Linked DNA regions of Zea mays. The main gene of each other region encodes a partner of the protein of the gene in region 2 in a complex. Links are inferred from orthologs where the notes say so. Each region holds a gene or a part of one and is shown on either strand. Other genes may lie near its edges. The genes, in order: 30S ribosomal protein S31, chloroplastic-like; 30S ribosomal protein S6, chloroplastic-like.

Evidence for each region.
Region 1: 30S ribosomal protein S6, chloroplastic-like (region 2) and 30S ribosomal protein S31, chloroplastic-like share a complex: the UniProt entries of both Arabidopsis thaliana proteins name them as parts of the 30S ribosomal subunit. The link is inferred for Zea mays from reciprocal best matches to the Arabidopsis thaliana genes AT1G64510 and PSRP4.

What each region holds. Positions count from the first base shown.
Region 1 is NC_050098.1:170,389,697-170,393,667, forward strand, and holds 30S ribosomal protein S31, chloroplastic-like, read right to left. Parts: upstream 2,721-3,971; 5' UTR 2,663-2,720; coding exon 2,467-2,662; intron 1,250-2,466; coding exon 1,185-1,249; intron 1,103-1,184; coding exon 971-1,102; 3' UTR 758-970; downstream 1-757. Other genes in the region: fructose-bisphosphate aldolase, cytoplasmic isozyme, read left to right, coding at 1-89.
Region 2 is NC_050096.1:303,987,610-303,991,287, reverse strand, and holds 30S ribosomal protein S6, chloroplastic-like, read right to left. Parts: upstream 2,252-3,678; 5' UTR 2,137-2,251; coding exon 1,714-2,136; intron 1,067-1,713; coding exon 821-1,066; 3' UTR 697-820; downstream 1-696. UniProt on the Arabidopsis thaliana protein: Binds together with bS18 to 16S ribosomal RNA.

The DNA.
Region 1 (3,971 bases), on a different chromosome or scaffold from region 2:
AGGCCAACTCTGAGGCTACCCTCGGCACCTACAAGGGTGATGCTGCCGCCGACACCGAGAGCCTCCACGTCAAGGACTACAAGTACTGAGTTGCTTCTCTTTGCGTGCCCGTTTTGGAACTCCTGCCTACGAGCTAGGTTGCGGAGTGTGGTTTGCTCGTTAGAGCTTATTTTCGGACATCCAAAAAACATGCTTCCTATGTGGGATGATGGTTATCTTTATATTTGTATGTTAATTAGTCTCTTTGCTGTTAAATTTCGTGTAAGTTGGTCCTGCCGATGGAGAATCGAGCAGCTCCCTTTTTTTGTTCTATCAACTATGCTGTAATTCTGGCTATGTATCGGCAAAAACAATTCTATATGCTGAGTTGGAGTCGGCAAAAATTCATATATGCTGAGTTGGAGACAGCAACTTGTTTGGATCATATTTTGCTGAGACACTCGTGAGAGATTGGCATAGCAAGAGACCTGAAAGTGTTAGCTGAAGTTTGAAACAAAACTTACATCATTGCAACACATATTAATAACACAACACGATCATTAGTTCAGCACGCAAGATCTTTGCACATTGCTGACGTATGAATAAATCGCTAGTTGGATTTTGTTTTACCTGTTAGGGCTGGATTGTTCGGTTAGAAGAGGATTGAAAGAGATTAAATCTTATTAATCCCCTTACAAATGAAACGTGTAATCTCTCCGTTACCACTAGATGAATCATTTAATATCTTCTAAAAAAAACTTATTTCGACACAGTTTCATTTTGAAGAGAGTAAAGAACTCAGCAGCTGGAAAGGAAAATAAAGAACCCAGTCAGTAGTAGGAACATTACTAGCCAAATGAAAGTGTGGCAGCCTACCCATCGATAATTATAGGCGAGGAAATAATTACTTAAAATATGTAGTATTTGATTTGGTACAAACTAGGCCAATTAAGCTCAGGGCAAATATAAAGCAAGGCAGAACTCGGACAACCTATTCCAGGATGTCCTCGTCAATCTCGATTGAAATGATCTCCCCATCATCGAACTGATCCTTCCTTGGAGGAGCAGGAGGGGCAAAGAGCCGCGCAGGCCCAGTTCCCTTCTTCTTGTTGCGCGGCCTCGCCTAGACATGATCAGACAGCTAAATAAAACAGAACAGGGGGAAAAAACCAAAAATGCGATGTAAATTGTGCTGGAGCACTCACATTGCCATATGAATGGTTGAACCTTTTGCCCCTTTTCGTTTTCTTGTCCCCTCTCCCGCAGTAGACTGAGCAAGACCAGATAAAGTTTAAAACTGTCTGTCAGTCCACAGGATCATCAGTATTGATATAAACAGAGGCCAAAAGGGACAGCACCCCAGTTGGGTTCGTAGTACAATCAGAGAATAAAATCCTGAAGCAGGCTATGGACACTAGAATTTCAGAAATTGATTTCAAATTATGATTAACTAAAACTTCTTTGAAGTACACGCATGAGAAGCATCCATCTTTGACTCTCTGTATTAATAAACCAGAAACAAGTGTTTACAACAGCTGAGGCCAGTGGCAACAGAGACGACCAAAACTATAGGCGGTAGTGATAAACAAGAGATTCAGCTTCCTTGATTGGCACTCACTCCTGACACCGTGTGAAGTGAATCAGTCAACCGGTAAAGGTTTAATAATCTACTACAGTAGTAGTTTTCAGTTCATATATATGCTCCTGCTCCTCGATACCGTAATTTTTTCGTGTGGAACAACTTAAGCTCTTAAGAATCCAGTTTCTAGAAACTAGTTTATAAAAAAAAAGGTTAATGGTGTTTAGAATCACCTTAATTTTTATAAATTGATTTTAGCTAGAGAAGACTAGCTTCTTGGTTTTTTAAGAAACTAGGAATCCAATTTCTATAAATTAGTTTGGAACCACGTCAATTTCTATAAAAAAAACTAGGTGCTTCCAAACAGACCCTTAGGCCATGTTTGGAAGCAACCTAGTTTTTAAGAATCTAGTTTCTAACTTCAGTTTCTATAAAGTGATTTATAAAAAAACTGGTTAATAGTTTTTAGAACCACCTCAATTTCTATAAACTGCCTTTAGCTAGATGGGATTAGCTTCTTGGTTTTTAAGAAACTGAGAATCCAACTTCTATAGACTGGGACAAAAGCTAGTATATTTGGAACCACCACAATTTTCATGAACCAGTTTGTTAAAAACTGGATGCTTTCCTTGGTCAGTCTAGTTGACCCAGATCGACTAACAGCATCACAACCTCCATCTCTTCTGGGGAGTACATTTCAGTAATAAATCCCTTGACTATTTCATAAAAAGAAGAAAAATCCCGATTGAATTGGAACGAATTTCCCAAGTGTCAGTGTAATAGTAGTCATTGCCTTTTCTCCCTTATTGCGTGGAAAACAGTAGCCATTGCTCGTGACATGTGTTAGAAAGAAACTACTCCTACATCGGACAAAAACAAGGGGAGTGAGGAGGTAGCTGTTTAATTACCGTCAAGAACTGGAGTGACGGTGGCCGACAAGACGGCGCCGACGGCGAACGCAGCCCGGGCGCGGGGGAAGGCGGCGGAGGCTGCGAGCGCGTAGGAGGAGGTGGAGACGTAGGATGAGACGGCGCCGTGGTTGTGAGATGGGAGGGCCGCGGCGGCGGTGGACATGGCCATGCCCTGGACGGCGAGCAGCGCCATGGGGGCAAGAAGGAGCGAGCAAGCGCAGGGAAGAGAGACTAGTGTGCTCGGGAATGGTGGTGTGGTGGATCAGGTTGGATAAGGGATAAAAGGGCTCGCAGTTGGAGCCACAGCGCACATCTAAGATGGGCTGCAGGGCTGGTGTGGGCTGGGCCAGAAGTAACCTTATCGGCCATTACTGTAAAGTATGGTGCACACACCTAGCCAGGCCGTCGTCGAGTCTGGTCAGGTCTTGGATCCTTTTCTTTCTCTTTCTTTTTTTTGATAATTAATATAATTAAGATGACCAAAGCTTAGCTTTGATTCATGCTAACAGAAAACAAAACCCTAGATGCTCCAGCGTCGTTCTCCGGCCCGTGCTTCTCCTGCTGAGTTAGGGTTCTGGTCCTTCTCGAATCTCGATTTCGGCGGTGGACTGGTGGAGGCAGACACTTGAACCCATGGTGGCCGGCCTCACGGCACCACCCGTGCAAGGTGCCAGCTTTCCGGACTGGATGAGCTCATGGCTTGTGCATCAACAAACCCTGAGGGTAGGGTGAGCGTCAAGGAGCGGCCCCGAGCTGTCCCCCACCCCCGTGCAGGCAATTTTCGGTCCTGGAGCTGGAGTTAGTAGTATTTGGGAGCGTGTGGCTGGAGCGATTCCAATTCATTTCAGCAACCGAAATACCGAATGGAGGAGTTGCCAAGGTCACTGTCAGGCACTCACCTGTGCACTACTGTACAGCACAGATTGAACGGTCGCTATCAGGTTCATGTCAACCGAGCAGAGTTTCAGTTTCAGTGCCCAATCATGAATAAAAAACCGATGGCCAAAATGTAGTGGTGGGAGAACGCCTCAAGCAAAGTGCCTTGCACGGAGTGGAGACGGTTCGATGGCATGACCTGACCACATGTGTCTTCTTTCTTCTGGAACCTCTAGAAGGAGAGGAACGGATGAATCCTCAACAACGCTCACGATTATGAATGGTGCAGGTGGCCACGAGAATTGAAGACGATATATATAGAGCAGAGAAGTAGAGGCCCCCTGATTTCTTCATTCTGAACAGTCCGGCAATTCGCCAGACGAGAAATGTCAAGCTAGTATATTATATATAAAACCCGAGACATTTTCCTTCTTTATTTACAACCATTACAGCGAGCAACGCCACCATGCAATAAAGCCAGCGCAACGGCGTGGCATGCCCACGAGAGTATCGTCTGTTGGTCGGCAACGGCTTCGCTTTGCCAACTCGATCCGCAGAGGATGGTCGGCTGCGGGTAACCCTTGTCGCTTGTACGCCGCGTCTTCTTCCCAGACCCCCTTCCTCTT
Region 2 (3,678 bases):
GCGACCGGGATAGGGATTATGACCGCTCCCGCGGATATGACTCAAGGAGAAGAGAGCGTTCACGCTCCAGGGAGCGCAGCAGGTATTGCTGAATAATAGGCACACTTTTTTATTTGAAACCCTTGTGCCTCACATCGTTGACTGACCCAGGTATTTGTTTATGATTTCAGGCGCCATGAGAGATACTAAATGTTACTCCATGGCTGACAGATTTTGGATTGCTGGCGTCTGTTCTGGTTTGTGTTGTGCTTTGTGTCTTATCTTCCGAAGTTTCCTGTTCCTGCTCGAGAAATCCGAAAGCCAATCTGCGTTCTGCATCATGTCATGTCCTAGTGTCGTACTGTTTAGTTATATGCCGAGAACATCTCTTTCATCAAATGAATATTTGGAAACACCAACGCACTTGACGCTAAATGGGAATGAAGTGTGGAGTATTTAAACGCCTCTGAAATCAAATGAAAGTTGTACTTGTACGAATCTCTTCCACAAATTGCACTGTATATGCTTGTACTGTTGCAGATTTACGATGGGTTTGGACTGTTCTCCATCCCCGGAGCGCGCTCAGGCTCGACGCTACCTAGCTACGGACCTTTATTTTTGGTACCTGATGAAACATGATGGTTTTAGGAGGCGCGGTGTTTCTCTGGCGAACGATGGCCGGACGTCCATTTTCGAGAACCACAAGACAAGAAACATATTCAAAAAAAAAAAACTCAACAATCATGGCAAAGGTGGATTCTTGTACAGCAGATTTCTTGTAGTATGGTATGTGAACAAAACAGTGTTCAGGGCCTGAAGGCGGAGGAGGCAACCCGTCTAACTAGACGGCCTTCCGCTGGCGGACCTTGAAGCTGGTGGAGCGGATGACGTCGTCGTCGGCGTTGAGCTTAAGCTGCAGGGCGTCCATGGACTCCGGCTTGGTGAAGTAGGTGATGAGGAGGTAGATGCCGTCGTAGTAGGTGGACGGCAGCCCGGTGCGGCTGTTCCTCTTCCTGATGCTGTATGCCAGCGGGATGACACCGCGGTTGAAGACCTCCACGTACATGGCGCCGCCGGCGACGAGCAGCTGCAGCACAGGAAAACACCAAGCTGAGCTGGATTGGAATGGTACGCAGATGGCATGTGACTGATAACAGCGATTAAGGGCCCGTTTGGAACTAACAAATTGTTAGCTAGGTTAAACCAGCTAATGGACTGATTGTTAACTCACAAATTAGCTGAGTTATTAGGTAGGGGGTGTTCAAACCTCTACTGCTATATATTCAAGCTGTTCACCTGTCTTTAATCCGAAACGGTTTCTTGTCTCTATATATTACCGCCGCAGCATCTGACTTCAATGTGAACAAACTGATTAGCTCTAGACTAGAGTGAGTTTCTAACAGAAACAGTGCCTAACATACATGGTGAATTCAGGATAGGATGGCAATTAACTATGGCGGATCCACTTTTATACGTTTAGAAATCCTAATATTTATTGGATGAAATTCGAAACACTCGGAACCCTTTTAACATTCGTCTCGCATTGCTCAAGTATGATACCAGCCTGTCCAGAAATTATCATCTGTCTGCTCTCTCTGCCATCGGAACAGCAAATGGTAGCGAGATATGCAAGAGGCAGAGGTGAGCCGATCGAGCCGTGCCCGTGTTACGCTGCTCCATCCATCCAGTTAGCTATAGTGGCAGCCAAACGGAGCGGAGGCAAACGCAAATTACCTCCTCGTAGCGCTGGATGAAGGCGAGGCGCTCCTCCTCGGACATGTCGGGGCGGAGCACGACCATGGTCTCGTACTGGCGGAGGCCGGGTGGGCAGGGCGGCATCTCGCGCTCCTCCAGCGCCAGCGCGGCTTCCGCGGCCGACATCCCGAGGCCGCCGCCGCCCAGCCCTAGCCCCGGGCCGAACCCCGACTCGTAGCCGACCTCCTCCTCCTCGTCCGCGCCGCCGGCCGCGGACATCGCCGAGCCGCCGTAGAAGGACGCCGCGTACCCAGTGGAGACCGCGCGGGGGCGGGCGAAATGGGAGGGGGCGGGGGAGGGGAGGCGAAGCAGCATCGCAGCGGGCGGGCAGGAGCGGAAGGGCGGCAGCGCGGCGGACGCGGATGCGGAGGAGAGCGGCAGCAGTGCCATGGGTGGCGGCATTGGAGGGGCCAAGGGGAGCCGAGCGGCAGGGGGGCGACGAGCGCGAGCAGGACAGGAGCCGGAGAGCGGGAGGAGGCGCTGACGCTGTTGGCGTCGCGTCCACTCGATAGATAAGGATAGGACGCCACGCCCTGTTTGGAGTTTGCACGGATTTTCATATTGGTGGAAAAACGGCCGGGTTGCCAGTTAAACCAAAATTGTTTACAACGTTAACTTTGTGTGTATTTCAACTATATGTAGTTATGCATTTCTTCTATGTTTTATGTGTATGATTCTTTTGTTGTCATATACGCAGCATGTATGTTTTCCTTTATTTACCCATAGAAAAAGTATAAATTATTCTTTTAATTATACTAATTGATTATCTAAGTTTGCTGTCCAAAGATTTAGGCAGCTAAAATACAATATCAACAGCGGACCTATATTTTTTTAAAAAAATCTCGAACAGTTGAATTGACTAAATATAGAGTAGACCTAATCTTCTCTGTATACGAGATATAAGGGGCCTGTTTGGTTCAGTTTTTTTCTGACCAGCTTTTCTGAAAATCTGGCTGTAAGGAGAATCTGGCTGTGGGGAGAATCTGAGTATCATTACGATTACGTGTGGAGGAAAATAAAGTTGTTCATAGGACTCAGGATCTAGAAAGTGATGAATTCATACTATTACAACGACTTAACCGATTATGTGTTTATATTGATTTTGGATGGTTTTTGTCCCAACGAATTTTATAGAAGCTGGCTGAAAAGCTGAGCGTTTGGCAATCCGCAGCAGCTTTTGGTGGCCAGAAGCTGCTAGAATCCGAAACAAACAGGACCAAGATAAAAGATCTAGTGAATTTGAACACCGAAAAACTTTGTGTGAAGGTCTGAAGACATTCTATTGTAGGTCAATTTGACAGGACTTCGACTCTACTTTCTCACGACTTCTTAAAGGGGCCAATAGCCGAAAACAACTCCTTGTAGAGCTCAAAAAGTCAAAGTCATTTTTTATAAAAGAGACACGATGCTGAAATATGGCTTTTATTTTTGGATTTTTTAAGCTTTTGCTCCAAGTTTTGCTGGTGTTCTCATTTTTACCCTTAGTCGTGTTTTTTTACTTAGTTTTGTCCTTCTAGTGTTATAGAGTAGTAGGGCAAAACTAAGAAAAAACACGACCAAGGTTAAAAATAAGGAATGAAGCAAAACTAAGGGTACAAATTTAAATAGCCCATTTTTTTACTTACAAAAACTTCAGCTTCATAGAAGGTACTCTACTGACAATAAAATAAGGAGCTAGAGCCCTTCTAAAAGGAGCCATATCAAATGAAACAACAGTATGAGTTTATTTGAGATTCACTAAAAATAATTTAAATTTTTGAAAAACTTTGTCAAACGATCTAGATCCACTAAATTTATATTTACCAAAATGGGGGATCTAAAGGCTAGATCCACTCTCTTGGTGAAGCTTCTCAATGGAAGCTCCAACAACATAAGTTTGATAGAGTTGAGAAAAGTTATCGACCACTACCATCGATTACAGTCCAATTCTTTCTAATTTTTCCA